2 linked regions of the Styela clava genome follow. The protein of the gene in region 1 purifies or fractionates together with the protein of each later gene. This does not show direct contact. Links are inferred from orthologs where the notes say so. Each region holds a gene or a part of one and is shown in the gene's direction. Other genes may lie near its edges.

Region 1 (7,948 bases):
TGTCATTTCCTATTTTAAAAATAGCGAATTTCATTTTTCCGCTATTAAATTCGAGCGACTTTTGTGTGCCGTATTGTACGTTCAGCGACCCCGGAAAATCTTTAATAAACGAGTAGCGACCACGCCTGGGGTCGCGACCCACAGTTTGGAACCACTGCGTAAGATAAAGGTACGCCGTGCTGCCGTTAGTGCCGTACGTTACGGTACTGTATTCTGCTTCGCTTCGTTCATGTATTTGAGCATCGCTCTTTTATACTGTACCGTACCGTATGCAGGGTTGTCATATTGGCTTTTTTAACTCCAAATTTGCCATCTTTGGCTCTTTTCAAACACGTTTGGCGTCAGAATTTCCGTTTGGCTTTTTTTTGACTTTTTTAAGTCTATTCTCAGATTCTAGTGTCTATTTTTAAAATCATATTAAATACAATATTTAGTGCAGTAGTGTGTAACAATAGCCTATTGCTGTATTGCTTAGCTAGACTACTTAAAATTTGGATTTCCCCGAGCATCGATTTCCTTGTTTTTTACCTTAACGATTAACCAATAAGAAATAATTGCTGTTTCTGCAGACTCAGACAGATTCAAGTACAGAAGTAGGGTAGGGTTGTGAACATTCTGACATTGCCTCGTTTTTATAGTTTTGTGTGTTAGGCTATTTGTCAGTTTTTAGTTCTGTTTCCAAAAAATAGTTGTATAACTTAATTTTCAATATGTCATATGTAGGGCTTTAGTTTAGTTGCAGTAATCAGAATTGAGTTTCACCAGCGATGTGATTAATTACGCTAAAATTAACTACCTGTACAGCTGTAGGAGCTAAGAGGCACGTTTTTTAATGCTAAATTTGCCATTTTCAGATTTTTGGCTCTTCAAACACGTTTGGCGTCAGAATTTCTGTTTGACTTTTTTACGTCTATTCTCAAATTCTAGTGTCTACTGGTCTATTCTTAAAATCATATTAAATACAATATTTAGTGTGTAACAATAGCCTATTGCTGTATTGCTTAGCTAGACTACCGGTACTTAAAATTTGGATTTCCCGAGCATCAATTTCCTTGTTTATTACCTTAACGATTAAGAAATAATTGCAGTTTCTGCAGACGCTCAGACAGATTCCTGGATTCAAGTACAGAAATAGGATTGTGAACATTCTGACATAATTTTTTAATGAAATTAATGGTTTCAAAATTCAAAAAGTGAAAAATTTTTCTATAGTTAAGTACGGTATACAGCTATATAGGATAGCTAGGGAGAAATTTTTAAGGTAACGGTACCGGTATATCACAAGTTTAGGTAGAAACATGTGGGTACATATATCACATACTGCTGTACTGAAGCGACACCCTGTATTGTATAGGCTAGGCCATATTGCAGTATTGAATTGTAAAATATAGCTGTTCGCTTGATATTTCTTTTTATTTGGTTTTTTGATATTTTTTTTAACTTTTTCATATAGCCTAGATCTGTAGATCTCGACTGCAGTCTACTGCTGTACCGGTATTGTCTGATTGTGCCGAATGTAGATTCTGGTGCTGCCATTCAATTAATCTTTTTCACTTTTAAACACTTCGTCCAGCCGAAGTGGAAATCGCCATGATAGCAACCGAAAATACAACTTTAAATGGGAAAAGACATTTGTGCGGATCACTAAATGAACTGATGGCTCTACATCAGCATCGGTATTGTGCCAAGGGCTTCAAATCTGACAAATCATGGGGCTTTTGTACTTCTGTATTTAGTAAAAGTAAAATTTTTGGCTATTTCTGGCTATTTTATGTCTTGATTTGGCTTTTTTTGATCGCTGAAATCTGGCAACCCTGACTGTATGTTCCAAGATGGGTCCTCATTTAAAAAAGGTAATAGGATATGGCTTAGTCTACGTGTGTATTCTATGTTTTAATTGTGTTTATGAATGTATGAGTAGTAAACTGATTTACGTTATTAGCAAAAAAAAAGCTCGGTGGATCGTTTGGGTCTGACCCCCGCCTGCCAATCTACCATCGCACTTCTAATTACTGTATTCTGAATTACAGTACCCTGTGCAGGTTCGAATGCTGTGAAAAAATTTGTGTGAGAGGAGCTTTAGTACTAGGAACCAGGGGCGCAGCCAGGATTTTTCAACGGGGGGTTACGGTGAAATCAAAACAGTGCATCAAAAGGGCAGTTCACGATGATGTAATGCATTTATAAACTGAAAGGTATGCGTCGTTCACAGCGAAATTCGTTACGTGTGTAGCCCGCCTCTCTTTGCCTGGCGGTGTATGGTGCATATTTTGCAAGTCCTATTTCAAACATCGACCATTAATCCGTAGTCAGTGGGCAACTGTAGTTAGAAATAAAAACATTAAAAATCGCTAAAATTAATTTTAAAGAAATGTGAAACTATTACTTGAAATTTAATGTTAATGAAGGTAATTTTTATAGCCATTTAATGATTTTTTACATGTGCCATGGTCTTGATAGAGTGGCGTGCAAAATCGTACTTTCTAATCGGGTTATTCGATGATTTTAATGAACACCGAATAATGAGTATTGTCATTTTGAACAACATCATTGAGATGTCGGCTGCCAAAACGATCGTCGTGACAATAATTTTTTTTTTTTTGGGAATTTTTTCGGAAGACTGAAAAATCCAGTAACAATGTTTTATTTCCTAAATTTGTCATAATCGAAGGCTGCAGTAAATTTTTTGTCATTGCGATGTTGACGCGCTTTATGCAAAGTTAGGAATTGAAAAATATGATGGGCGTGAAAAAGGGAAGGAAGAAAACATTTCCACATTAATCGTTTCTACCTGTTAGAGATAGCCGTCGGTAAATTCTTACCCTCTAATAAATTCAATTTTTCTTTTCAATGCGCTGTGATTGATTTGAGTGATTGCGCCGGAAAAAGAGAGTCCTTAAATTAGTTGATCACCCTTCTCTCCTTTTGAGCGCCCATAACGGCGGTTAAATTCTTTTCATGTCTGTTTCGTGGAGAGGAGGGAAAATGTGCCTTACTGAATTGCAATCAACGATTACACCTTCTTATTTATCATTATCAGCGCCAATTCAAAGATAGCATGATGTAAAGACGAAAAAAGTCTGGTCTGTGATAACACACAGAATAATATCGTATGGCCGCAAAACCATGATGCGCAACCGTTAAATGGCGCTGTTGCTTTTTTGTAGAAAAAATTTCGCATCAAAAATTGTTTTCAAAGGGGGGGTTATGACCCTGCGAGACAGTCTGGGCCTCCATATCGGCAATCCGTTACTGAAGAATAAAGTAAAAGGAAGTGCAATCTGAAAACATCACCATTGGGTTCCTAGGGGGGAGAGAATAATTAGATTTACCAAAGGATTATATTTTTGACAGTTTTTAGCAAAGAAACGCAATTATGGTCTAATAACGGCCACGATTAATTCCGATTATTATCGAGACAAGCGTGGCTCGATCTGACGTATTGATCAGCCATCGTACCAGACGCAAACTGTGCCCTACTGTACTTCGTGATATTTAATGCTGTAATGATTCATCATATTATTAATGAAAATGAATCTTTGCTCTGACCGTCAGAAAAATACATATTCTTCGAAATTCAAGTCGCCGATTAAATCGTTACTGTCGTCCAAAATAGACACACATTTGGTCAGGTGTCGGGCTGTATGTTGGTCAACGATAATTTAAAAAAGTTTCCACATGTGGTAAAGACATTTCTCGGCCTGAACTATTGATGAACATTATGCAAAACGTATCGACAAGTCTGAGTAGATATATAACGATAACTGAAAATTAAAATTTTGCAATTAAAAATAATTTGTCTGTAGATGTTATTTTATGAGTCTTGCTCACAAAAAATAAACAGGCCGACATACTCGATTATAATTGATTGAGTCGTTGAGTTTATTTTACATTATTGATTAACGCGAGCCCTACCAGGCTCCGGTTGCGGTCACATAAATTGCAGTGGCCTATGTCTGGCCTGTGTTTTCCGCGCTCTCACATTGATAATAATTTGATATTTTTTCATACCTATATTTTGTATTTCACAATTTAGTATTGAAGTGTATAATGCACTAGGCTATATATTTTAATTAACATATACCGGTAAGTATTTAGGTATTACCTAAATTTTGAACAATTCAAGGCAAAAAATAATTTTTTAAATTCTTACATTTCATTGGCTTGTTTGGTAACAAATAAAATCCAATGCTCAGGATTTTTTCAATTAAATACAAAGGCAGTAATACATTCACAAGATTACTTTTTTTAAATTGTAATTCATCAATGTGGCGGAAGAATTCGCACATTTGAATAACAATAAAAACAGAATAGGGTTCGGTATTCGATTTAAGTATTCTAGAATAGTAAATTATTCTATATTGCCCATCCCTACTCTGGTGCAAGGAAAATTTACTTGATTTCATCACAAAGTTTTTTTTTACAATTTATCCTTTAGTTTTATTTATTGTAATGTAGTTAATTTTTAACTATGTCTTTGAGTCGAGTTTTTCGTGTGCTGCATAAGCTAGGACCACCGTACAGTGTGCTTTTGGAGTCTCGACAATTTGAAGATGGACTGTTACTAGAATCAGGAACAGTCGTATCTCTTACTCCGCAGGAGAAAGAAGAACTTAAGTCGGATTATACAAAGGCAATTGATGCATATGGATGTCTTGGAGTTATGATGTTTGGAGATGACAAAGCTGGTAAAGCCCGCAGCTTATACCTGGTGCTTGTGACTGCTTGTATGCCAGTTGGAAAGTTACTCAACTGCGAAGTATTCCGCATTACTGGAGCAAGTTTTTTTTCTTTGCAAAATGGTACTGTAGATGCAGATAGCAGGTGCACAGATGTTAAAAAGTTACTCAGCTCTGGAAAATTTTATTTTACTTGGTCTGCAATGAATGGGAGTGAAATTTTGGATTTGACTGTTTCATTCCAGGATCAAGACAAGAAGAATGATGACCAACGTTTCTTTTGGAATCACCTTTTGCACCTGCATTTCAAACATTTTGGTGCTGATTGCGCCTTGTGGCTCTTCAGAGTTATGTGTGGAGGAATTGACATACGAACTGTTTATGTAGGTGCTCAACAAGCCAGAGCTGTGGTTATATCACGTTTGAGTTGCGAACGTGCTGGCACAAGATTCAATGTTCGAGGTGCGGACGATGAGGGTCATGTTGCAAACTTTGTAGAAAGTGAACAAGCAATCATACTTGGTGAAAATGTTTCTTCATTCATGCAAATTCGTGGCTCTATTCCATTGTTTTGGGGGCAACCAGGCCTGAATGTAGGATCCCATAAAATCAAGATTTCTAGAGGATTTGAAGCATCTGCGCCCACATATGATAGACATTTTTCAAGCATTGTGGATAATTATGGGCAGTGTCTCATAGTTAATTTACTTGGTAGTAAAGGGGACGAGAGCATGTTGAGTAGGCTTTTCCAACTACACCATGAAAAGTCTGCTTTCAGTGAAGAAGTAACAATGTTTTGTTTCGATTATCATTGTGAATGTAGAGGAAAATCTGAAAATTTATCCAAATTGAAAACAAAGATATGGGACAAACTGGAGAGTTATGGATGTTATACCTATAAAGATGATGAAAAGTTACGCATCACTCAAACTGGTGTCATTAGGATTAATTGCCTTGATTGCTTGGATCGTACAAATAGTACAAAAACGTATTTTGGAATGCAGATGTTACCAAAGCAACTGGAAAGTTTGGGACTTGGAAATAATAAGCAACTTGAAGATAGATTCAGAGAGGCTTTCAAAACGGCTTGGCCCATTACTGGTGATCTAATCAGTCGAATGTATGCTGGTACTGGAGCCTTAGAAGGTAAAACAAAATTTAAAGATGGTGCAAGATCGGTGACACGTGCAATACAAAACAATTTTCTTGACCAGAGTAAACAAGGTGCAATTGATTTACTCATACTTGGTACCAACTCAGCAGATATTGAACTGATGGCAAGGGCAAACAATTTAATGTCTGGTGATTGCTTGCGTGCTCCCACAGCGGTTTTGAGAGGCATGTGTGATAAATTCAAAGATTACACATCTATCTTGCCAATTAGAGTTGCCATCGGAACCTGGAACGTAAATGGTGGAAAGCATTTCCGATCACTGGCATATAAAGATCAAACATTAGATGACTGGCTCATCAAATGCGAACAGTCACCAACCAATAATTTTTACAAGGCCTTGTATGATTTTTCCTCTGCCGAAGAAGGTGATTTGTCATTCGCATCAGGTGATATCATTGATGTGCATCATGCCTTGGAGGATGGGGAATGGATGTCAGGTTCCTGCAATGGATGTAATGGAATATTTCCTGCAGCTTATGTCACCAAATTGCTACCAAGATATACTGCTTTGTACGACTTTCCAGCTCATCAGGAAGGCGATCTCGATTTTGTTGCTGGCGACACAATTGAGGTGACTGAAATGACAGGTGAATGGTGGAAGGGAAGGGTTTCAAGAGATGAATACAATCCTGATGAATTGGAAGGAACTTTCCCAGCTAGCTATGTTGAAATATTCAAAGATAGTTTGTCAAGTGACTCCTTTAGCAATCTTGCAGACAATAATGATGCTGAGGTTGACTGGAATAAAGCAATGGACTTTTATGTTATTGGATTTCAAGAGATGGTTGAACTCAGTGCTGGGAACATTGTAAATACAAGCCATACTAATCAACATACCTGGGGAATAGAATTGCAGAAGACAATATCTAACAAGTACAAGTATGTCCTTCTTGCTTCAGAACAGCTTGTTGGTGTGTGCTTTTATGTGTTTGTTCGTCCGCATCATACACCTCATATTAGAGATGTTGAAATTGGAACTGTAAAAACTGGATTGGGGGGTGCAACTGGAAACAAAGGAGGAATTGGTATACGAATGCAGTTTCATAACTCATCTTTGTGTTTTGTATGCTCTCATCTAGCTGCTGGACAAGGACAAGTACAGGATCGAAATAATGATTTTGCTGAAATATCCAAGAAGATGGTTTTCTCTGGAAATAAATCTATCTATTGTCATGATTATATTTTCTGGTGTGGAGATCTGAACTATCGGATAGATATGCCAATTGATGAGGTTAAACAATTAGTTGTTGAAAAGGATTGGAAATCTTTGCAAAGCAATGACCAACTCTGTACAGAAAAGAAAGAGGGAAGAGTGTTCCAGTGTTTTTTAGAAGGAGATACTAACTTTGCACCAACCTATAAGTATGATTTGTTTTCCGATGACTATGATACTAGTGAAAAATCCAGGACACCAGCTTGGACTGATCGTGTGTTGTGGTTTCGAAGAAAATGGTTTGCGGACACTCAAGATTCTGGCTCATCGTTAGTTTCAGTAAGTCAAGATCCAGAATGGAATCCTGGAAAATTGCTGTATTATAATAAAGCTGATATTAAAACTTCTGATCATCGTCCCGTTATAGCGATACTTGATGTCGATATTATACAGTCTGATGAAGAACATCTCAATACAACATTTCATAAATTTGTAGAAGCCCAAGGTCCTCCAGATGCAACTATCTTGATATCATTAACCCAAGAAGAAAATACTGGTGACATTCCACTGTCTGGTGAACTATTTGAAGCAATCATGTCAAGGCTGAACGAAATTGGTGAAGTTATCATCACCCGACACTTCAAGGGGAAACTGATGGTTATTTTCAGTGATGGTACAGCAGCAGTTAGAGCCACAGACTTGAATGAAACTTCTGTTGATGGAACATTGATTTATGTCACATTAAAAAGTAGAGGTTGGGAGGAAGATGTTGAACATGAACTTCGACAACATTCACATTCATTTTCTGCTAATGAATCATATGCTGAAAAATATGCAAACGAGGGGGAACCGTGTCAATATAATTATGATGTGTACCATAATGATGCGGAACATGAAGAAGACAGTTCTGAATCACCAAGGTATGAATATAATACATATCAT
Region 2 (8,504 bases), on another chromosome or scaffold:
CCTGTTATATGCAATAAAACTATGACTAATCCACTTCCAACAACATTCAGACATTGCGTCCCCGAATCACCTCTCTGTATGAATCCACTTTTTAAACTGCACTTCCAGGCAACAATTTTCAAAGTATTTACTTTTCAGACAGTCAAACATGATTTCATACTATTAGGGTTTCCTGTAACTTGAAGATCTTTACCAGCCTGTTGAAAGCCATGAAAAAAAAAAAAATACAAAATCAAGTATGGCTCCATATACAGATATACCATGTTCCCCCCAAAATAGGACTGGGTCTTATTTCAATTTTCTTCCGAAAAATAACACTAGGGCTTATTTTCGGGGGATGTCTTATATTTTTATTTATTAAAAAACAAGATTAAAAATTACGAGATTTTCAAATATACAAACTATGAAAACTTATAACCATTTACTTATGAATAACACGTTCTTATTCAAAACAACTGCAGAACATAGATTATTATCAATCATTTAAAACGTGTAAGGGGGATAAAAAAAATCTCGCGGTATTGACTTGGTCTTATTTTATGGGGAAGGCTTATATTAAAATTATTTTTAAAATTCGTGCTAGGTCTTTTTTTCGGGTAAACACAGTAGCACTATGGCTAATGTCTCGTGTTTTTTATGTAGTACTTCCAAGCAATATTTTTTCTCTTAAATATATATTATATAAATATATTTCGATTCTTTATACTATTAAGGTTTGCTTGCACCTTCGAGATCTTTTCTAACCTGTTGGACACACAAAAGATAGGACTAATCCACTTTTCATAACAGAAATTGAGTGTGGCTCCATTTTCTATCCTGTACTTCCAGGCAAGAAATTCTCAGTTAAATGCTATTCAAACATACTCTTTTCACAAATGAGGTTTGCCTGTACCTTTAAGATCATTACTAATCTGTTAAACACACAAAAAATAAGACTAATCCACACCTCATAACAGAATTTGAGTGTGGCTCCATATTACTGAACTGCTCAAGTCTGTGGCTCCATTTTCTATCCTGTATTTCCAGGCAATAAATTCTCCGTTAAATGTGATTCAAGCGTATTCTTTTTGCTAATAAGGTTTGCCTGTACCTTCAAGATCATTACTAATCTGTTAAACACACAAAAAATAGGACGAATCCACTTCTCAAAACGAATTTGAGTGTGGCTCCATACTAATGAACTGCTCAAGTCTGTGGCTCCATTTTCTATCCTGTATTTCCAGGCAATAAATTCTCCGTTAAATGTGATCCAAGCGTATTCTTTTCACTAATAAGGTTTGCCTGTACCTTCAAGATCATTACTAACCTGTTGACACATACAAAAAATAGGACTAATCCACTTCTTAAAACGAATTTGAGTGTGGCTCCATATTACTGAACTGCTCAAGTCTGTGGCTCCATTTTCTATCCTATATTTCCAGGCAATAAATTCTCAGTTGAATGTGATTCAAGCGTTTCCTTTTCATTAATAAGGTGTGCCTGTACCTTCAAGATCATTACTAACCTGTTAAACACACAAAAAATAAGACTAATCCACTTCTCGAAACGAATTTGAGTGTGGCTCCATATTACTGAACTCAAGTCTGTGGCTCCATTTTCTATCCTATATTTCCAGGCTATAAATTCTCAGTTGAATGTGATTCAAGCGTTTCCTTTTTATTAATAAGGTTTGCCTGTACCTTCAAGATCATTACTAACCTGTTAAACACACAAAAAAATAGGTCTAATCCACTTCTTAAAACGAATTTGAGTGTGGCTCCATATTACTGAACTGCTCAAGTCTGTGGCTCCATTTTCTATCCTATATTTCCAGGCAATAAATTCTCAGTTGAATGTGATTCAAGCGTTTCCTTTTCATTAATAAGGTTTGCCTGTACCTTCAAGATCATTACTAACCTGTTGACACATACAAAAAATAAGACTAATCCACTTCTCGAAACGAATTTGAGTGTGGCTCCATATTACTGAACTCAAGTCTGTGGCTCCGTTTTCTATCCTATATTTCCAGGCAATAAATTTTCAGTTGAATGTGATTCAAGCGTTTCCTTTTCATTAATAAGGTTTGCCTGTACCTTCAAGATCATTACTAACCTCTTAAACACACAAAAAATAAGACTAATCCACTTCTCGAAACGAATTTGAGTGTGGCTCCATATTACTGAACTCAAGTCTGTGGCTCCATTTTATATCCTGTATTTCCAGGCAATAAATTCTCGGTTAAATGTGATTCAAGCGTATTCTTTCCACAAAGAGGGTTTGTCTGTACCTTCAAGATCATTACTAACCTGTTGAACACAAAAAAAATAAGACTAATCCACTTTTCATAACAGAATTTGAGTGTGGCTCCATATTCAGATATTACTGCATATCACCATGGCCTGGCCTGGCCCCAATTTCTCCGTGGCCTGGCCCCAATTTCTCCGTGGCCTGGCCCCATTTCAGTGGCCCGGCCCCAGGGCCACAAAAAAGTGATCACTCCCACTCCGGCCCTTGCCCGTACCTACTGCGGAACGATGGGCAGATAGGGCTGACGTTACAGTTAAATACTGTTTTTTTTTTTAAGATCAAAAATTTATTTATTTTCACAAAACTGTTTTGAATCCACAATGCGAAACCCTAAAATTTTTTTTTTTGAGACAAAAAACAGTAAAAGCGGTTAGTAGTAGGAGTAGCATTGTCAACTAACGAAAACTTGATTATATGATTATTATATCGTGACCTTCGAATATAGTTTTTTGGTTTTAATAAGAATATCAAATACGGTATCGCGCACGTATTCTTGCGCCACCGCTCTTTGATTTCAAAATTTATAACAAAAATTAGCCCAGTCAAAAAGTACGGGTACCGGTACAGCTAGGTATGCAGTAATGCAGGTATGTGTGCTGTTAGAAAGTGTAACAGTTTTTAGGATCGGCTCAAATCAGTATATAAGAAAATGCGAATTTTTAAATTTACTGTTCTAGGGCCATTTCGGGGGGTCTGAATCTTTCAAATATTTTTTGAATTTAGAGAACATAGGCCTAAGTGGTGAGGGGGAAATGATCACGTGATTAACGTGTTAAGAAGTGAAGAAAAACAGGCCATAATGTTATACAGTTCAGGTTGATACTGTTGCTAGACCAATAGCAGAATAGTATTGTAATTTCCGAATTAATTTGAACTAGCGCAATAGCGTAACAAGAACAGGCTATCTGCAGTATCTGAATATTGAATTATGGAATTGGATTTTAATGTACAGAAAATGTTGATTGAAAATTATATTAAACAAGTAGGCTAACTAGAATAATTAGACTTTGTAATTCTGTAATTATTTGGACAGTGAAATATTGGCTGATGAACTTGATTAGCCTATGCTGTGGGCCTGTGGCATAACTTTATTAAAATAAAACACCTAGTTTAGACAGTTAAATGCTTTACCAAAAAATGTATTCCTGAATTTGGAAGAAGTTGAGAACAATTTCTGAAGTTTACGTTTGTTATATAGAAGCTATCACTAACTTGCCCTGACTTAGTTACTGCAGGACTGCCTGGAACACAATATATATTACTGTATTAGATTAGGCAAATAAATAAAAATTTTACCGTTCCTTATTTTTTAGTAGATTGACAAAAATCTTCTGATATGGTAGACAGAGATCTACTCAATTTATTTATTATAAAAAATTTGAAAATAGATAAATTAATTAATTCTTTATATAAAATTATTGTATAATAAATGTGAATAGATAGGCATGTTTACCTGAAATAAATTTAAACAAAAGGCATGAGTTAATGCTGTTTACTTTCTTCATAGTTCTATTTATCTATTTTTGAATAATATTAACAGGAAATTATAGGCTGGGAATATTGCATAAGTCATATAAATGTTTATAAGGTATTTGCAGATGACACATCACTCATGCTTGAGTGATTGTCATCTGTAGCTGCAGGTTTGAAATTAATAGAATTAGTTCATTTCAACACATTGTAAATATAACAGCATGAATGGACAGTTATATTTCCTTTCAATGAATTATTCGAGTTATCATAGGATTTTCAAACTCATAGGCCTCTTATGAGACAAACTCATTATACTCTTCCTTCAACGCAGTTTTTGTGTGCTGGTAAATAAAGAAAAATACTAAGCTACAGAAAATGATACACCTGAAGTATGTGTACCAGGTTAGGGTTAGGACAAAACTTTGTTCAGATTTTTCACATTATAGTTCTATTATAAGTTCGGGGAGGGGGTACGATTTAGGTAGGAACTACATATTTGTTAGTCTTCATTATTTCATCCCATTACACAACTTGATGGGCCGCGGCCCATAGCCTGATGGGCCGAGGCCCGTTTCGATGGGCCGTGGCCCCGGCCCATGGGCCGTAGAAGAGTCACCACTCCCACTCCAAAGTATTGAACTAATTCACTTAGTTTGGCGGTCTGGAAACCACTGATCTAAAGGGTGTCTGTCCACTTTCAAGCAATCCATCAGAAGTGTCCACTCCTACAGTGTTTGAATGGTTGAAACCACTGATATTAGCCTTGCATGGGTATGTCCCATTTAGGCAAAACACAAAATGTAACCAGTAGTGCCTCTTTATCGTAGGTTTTACATTCAATAACCTTAGGCTATGTCAATACTATAGTATAAAGCAGCAATTCCCAAACTTTTTGTTCATGCGGCACCAAATTCTCAAGAAAAAAACTACGAAGTACTTCCATGCAAAACAAATTGCTGTTTTAGAATAAAACTCAATTTTGGGATTGTTAATGTGTATTTTATGAGTTTTAAAGTTTGTAAACATGTAGGCCTTAGGAATAAAGGCAATGTCAACAAACCAACATGACATCATAACATTTACACTTATTTATATAGCCTAATGACAGGTGTGCAGCTTCTCTGAACACATCTGCTTAAAGCGAGGTGTTATACTCGATATTTCTCTATCTATGTCTAAGTCCCTTTTGGGAACCACTGCTATAAACAATCTGTGACATCATAGTACCGTGAATCATTGATTGGTTTGTCTTTATTAAAGGTATGTTGTCAAAATCACAGAAGACTATGATTGAACTTTCACCTAAGTTCAACTTGGTAAGTCACATACACACTGACTTTTTGTCACATAATTATCAATAATAGCTCAATCTCTCTCTTCGCAGGGAACTAGGTATTTAGAATTATAACGGCACATTGTGTGTCAGTGTATTAGAATTTTTGTTTCATATCAACAGTTAATTTGTGGTTTTCACTCGGATATTTCCTATCTTGTCTCTCCTGGTTTTTCTTCATAGTGGCTTAACAAGGTTCTCAAAAGCATGATTAAACAATTTCACAAAGCGAGTCAGGTCAGTAAAACTTAATATTTTGTAATTCTGGATGGAGATGTTGCAATGCCTATTACATTGGATGCTGCAAAATTATACATGCATTACCAAATAGCCCTATATGGTATAATTTGCATAGGCATGGAAGTGGTTGACCTTTGATCAGTTTTTTTTTATTCACAGTTTTCCTAAATTTAAATAACTTAATGTGTAAGACACAATGTATACATGATTCAGACTTGTTTTAGGAGCATACTATTGTTTGTTATGTACTTTGAAAGTCATGCTGTTTTTAAGATTTTCCTCTTTTTCGGTTATACATTAGTTCTTTTTTTTCAATTACAGTCATGAGTAATTTGTTCTTTTATTTTATTTTTTTCTTGCTTCACTTCATAATAATGGTTACATTATTTTGATCTTCAATTCATGTCAATTCTCTCTTTTGTTTTGTGCATTGTGTACTCATATCATAAATAGAGATGCTTTTAACAATTCCATTATCTTGTACCAATAAATATACACTAATATCCTTAAGAAATGTTATGTCTCTATGTTGCTGTTTTTTTAAAATTATCTCAGTTCTACTTGATGATATAAATGTACAATAACCTTACTAGTAAGAGTGAGCTCTTATTGACTGTCATCATAAAAAATTTCTTGTTTCAAATAATTTTTTCAATCTGGTTTTCATTAATAATTTTGAGTTCTTTATTGATTTATTTGTCGTATAATTTACGATTGATGATTTTATTTTTTCATTCATACATTGTATGACTAAGATTTATAAAGTTCTGATGCATATAAGAGCATATTTATTAAAAATCTATTGTTAAAATTAACTTAAAATTAGTTATTTTTTACAGTATATGTCAGAGAAGATTGGAAATGAGAATGACAAAACTACAATGGATAGAGAATTTGTGGAAATGGAGAGGGTACCTAATTTTTTTACGTTTATTTACCTTGCTACCTTCCAAGTTATCCTTAACTATTGAGTATGATTGTTAAGAGTTTGCAGCTTTCACGATTCAAGGCTAAGACCTTGTAACGTAAGTTGTGATAAAATGATAATAATGCCTCATTCTCTACGAGAACTTGATGAAACAATCTATTGGTTTGGTCAATTGATTCTACTCTCGTAGTTCGTTCCTGATATTTCTTCTGTTTCATCGACAAAAGGAAGTCATCAAATTACTGACTGTTTTTATTGTGCAATGTAATGACTGTGGCACCAGTCACATGGGCTTACCTATGAAATATTCCATTTCCTTGCTCAGAAAGTTGACATAACAAGCAAAGCCATACAAGATGTGATGCTGTTTACTAAAGAATATTTACAACCCAACCCCGGATCAAGGGCTAAATTGAGCATGATGAATACAGCATCAAAGTTACAGGTAAATTTTTCCAATGTCATATTCTGTTTGAGTACCATTCATTTATGGCCAATGCCCGACTATTTATATTGATTGGGTTAAACGAATAAAACACATTTTACCTCATCAATTTCAAATTTTGTAATATTGTGACATCATATCAGTGAACATGGCGGTTTTTCATTGCTATTTTTTTAGTATTTCTGGGATATAATTCCCATCATAGGCTTCATATTGTTTACTTCATTTCAGGGGATACTTGGATGTCAGGTTAGCAATCTGAATGATAATAATGTGTTTCCATGTGGTCCCTCGGGAGTTTCTTCACATATTTTTATTGCTTTGTGCATCATTAGTTTTACTGCAAGCAGATGCCTGTAGTGACCATCTGATTTATTTTATTACCTATTAATTCATAAGTTCTGGCATATTATATTGGTTAGTATTGGTCATAGAATATTTCCAACTATGATTTAGTTCAGTGTTCATTATAATACTATGCTACCTCTTTGCCCAATTTTTTATATTGCAGCACTTGACTATGACTGGAATGTATGTTTCCTGAAAATGATGATCACAATAATTGTTTCATGGAAAGTAGAGATAAAAAGACTTCAAACTTTGCAATATGTTTTACAGGGAAAGCAAAGAGACATCAAATATCCTCAACCAGAAGGTACACTGGGCGAATGTATGCAAAAACATGGCGGTGAATTAGGAACTGATTCTCACTTTGGTAATGCTCAAACATATTCATTATTTTGCTTATTGAGTAACGTGGGTCTAACTGATTAATAATTATCCTTTGTTTTATTGTATTTTGTTGATTTATCCATACTGAGGAACACAACGATGTAACATCAAATGTAATGTACTGAATGTAATAAGTGTGATGTGTGACACTTGGCCTACCAATTTAATATTGTCAATCCGATATTAGCATATAGCAACCTCTTCAAGATTTGACATGTATGAATCACAATTACATCAGTTTCCCTTTTTAAGTTTGGAAGTGTTCATACCTCTCACTGGTGTGAATGTTTCTACAACATACAAATCATAAACCGAATAATATGTTATATTGAATTTAGTGAATTATTGATTTTAGGAATAAATAAAAGGTTTTCATATAGAAATTTGGTGCCGCCTTGGTATGCGTTAATCTCATAAAGACAGTCTCATAGAATTCAGTTTCCAACCCTGTCATCGTTGGGTTAGAGTTGGGTTAATACTAAAGTCACTAAGATCGCATAGCAAATTGGCACGAAAATTTGTTATGTTAGGCATATTACATCTGATGATCAGACAAAATATGATTGCTACTTCTGAATATTTGAATACGGAAAATTAATCAATCCAATATTTACTTCAACTAATCTACTATCCCAAAATCCAACTACTATGAATTCATAGTAATAGTGCAATTTCTGTGGATTATGAAACGATCAGAAGATATTTCATATTCAAAAATATTGTTGAATCAGAAATCCGAATGTATTCAAAATACTAAATTATTCGGTTGTGGCCATCTCTGTATGTATGTATGTTCAGAACATTTGATTGAGGCTAATATGTGAAAGCACAATGTTTTCATCAATTTATTAGAATATTGATTGAAATAATAAGTTACATTATAAATAAGATTGATTATCCCATCTTTTGTTTAATTAGATATCATTGTCTTGGTTTTAAAGTGCTACAATTTGATTTTTGTCATTGTTGACTGTTTTTGTTTTACGTAGAAATATTTATATTATAGGTTTATATTATATATATGCTTGCGGTGATTCATAATCTCTTAATCATAATCATCTCTTAAA

What was found. The genes of interacting proteins can lie anywhere in the genome.
Region 2: the proteins of synaptojanin-1-like (region 1) and endophilin-A3-like purify together in Drosophila melanogaster (affinity purification with western blotting; 3 studies listed by BioGRID). This does not show direct contact. The link is inferred for Styela clava from reciprocal best matches to the Drosophila melanogaster genes Synj and EndoA.

The regions. Positions count from the first base shown.
Region 1 is NC_135258.1:23,400,696-23,408,643, reverse strand, and holds the start of synaptojanin-1-like, read left to right. Parts: upstream 1-4,418; 5' UTR 4,419-4,471; coding exon 4,472-7,948.
Region 2 is NC_135252.1:11,289,303-11,297,806, reverse strand, and holds the start of endophilin-A3-like, read left to right. Parts: upstream 1-5,124; 5' UTR 5,125-5,299; coding exon 5,300-5,329; intron 5,330-6,171; coding exon 6,172-6,243; intron 6,244-6,585; coding exon 6,586-6,705; intron 6,706-7,323; coding exon 7,324-7,420; intron 7,421-8,504. UniProt on the Drosophila melanogaster protein: Required presynaptically at the neuromuscular junction. Implicated in synaptic vesicle endocytosis.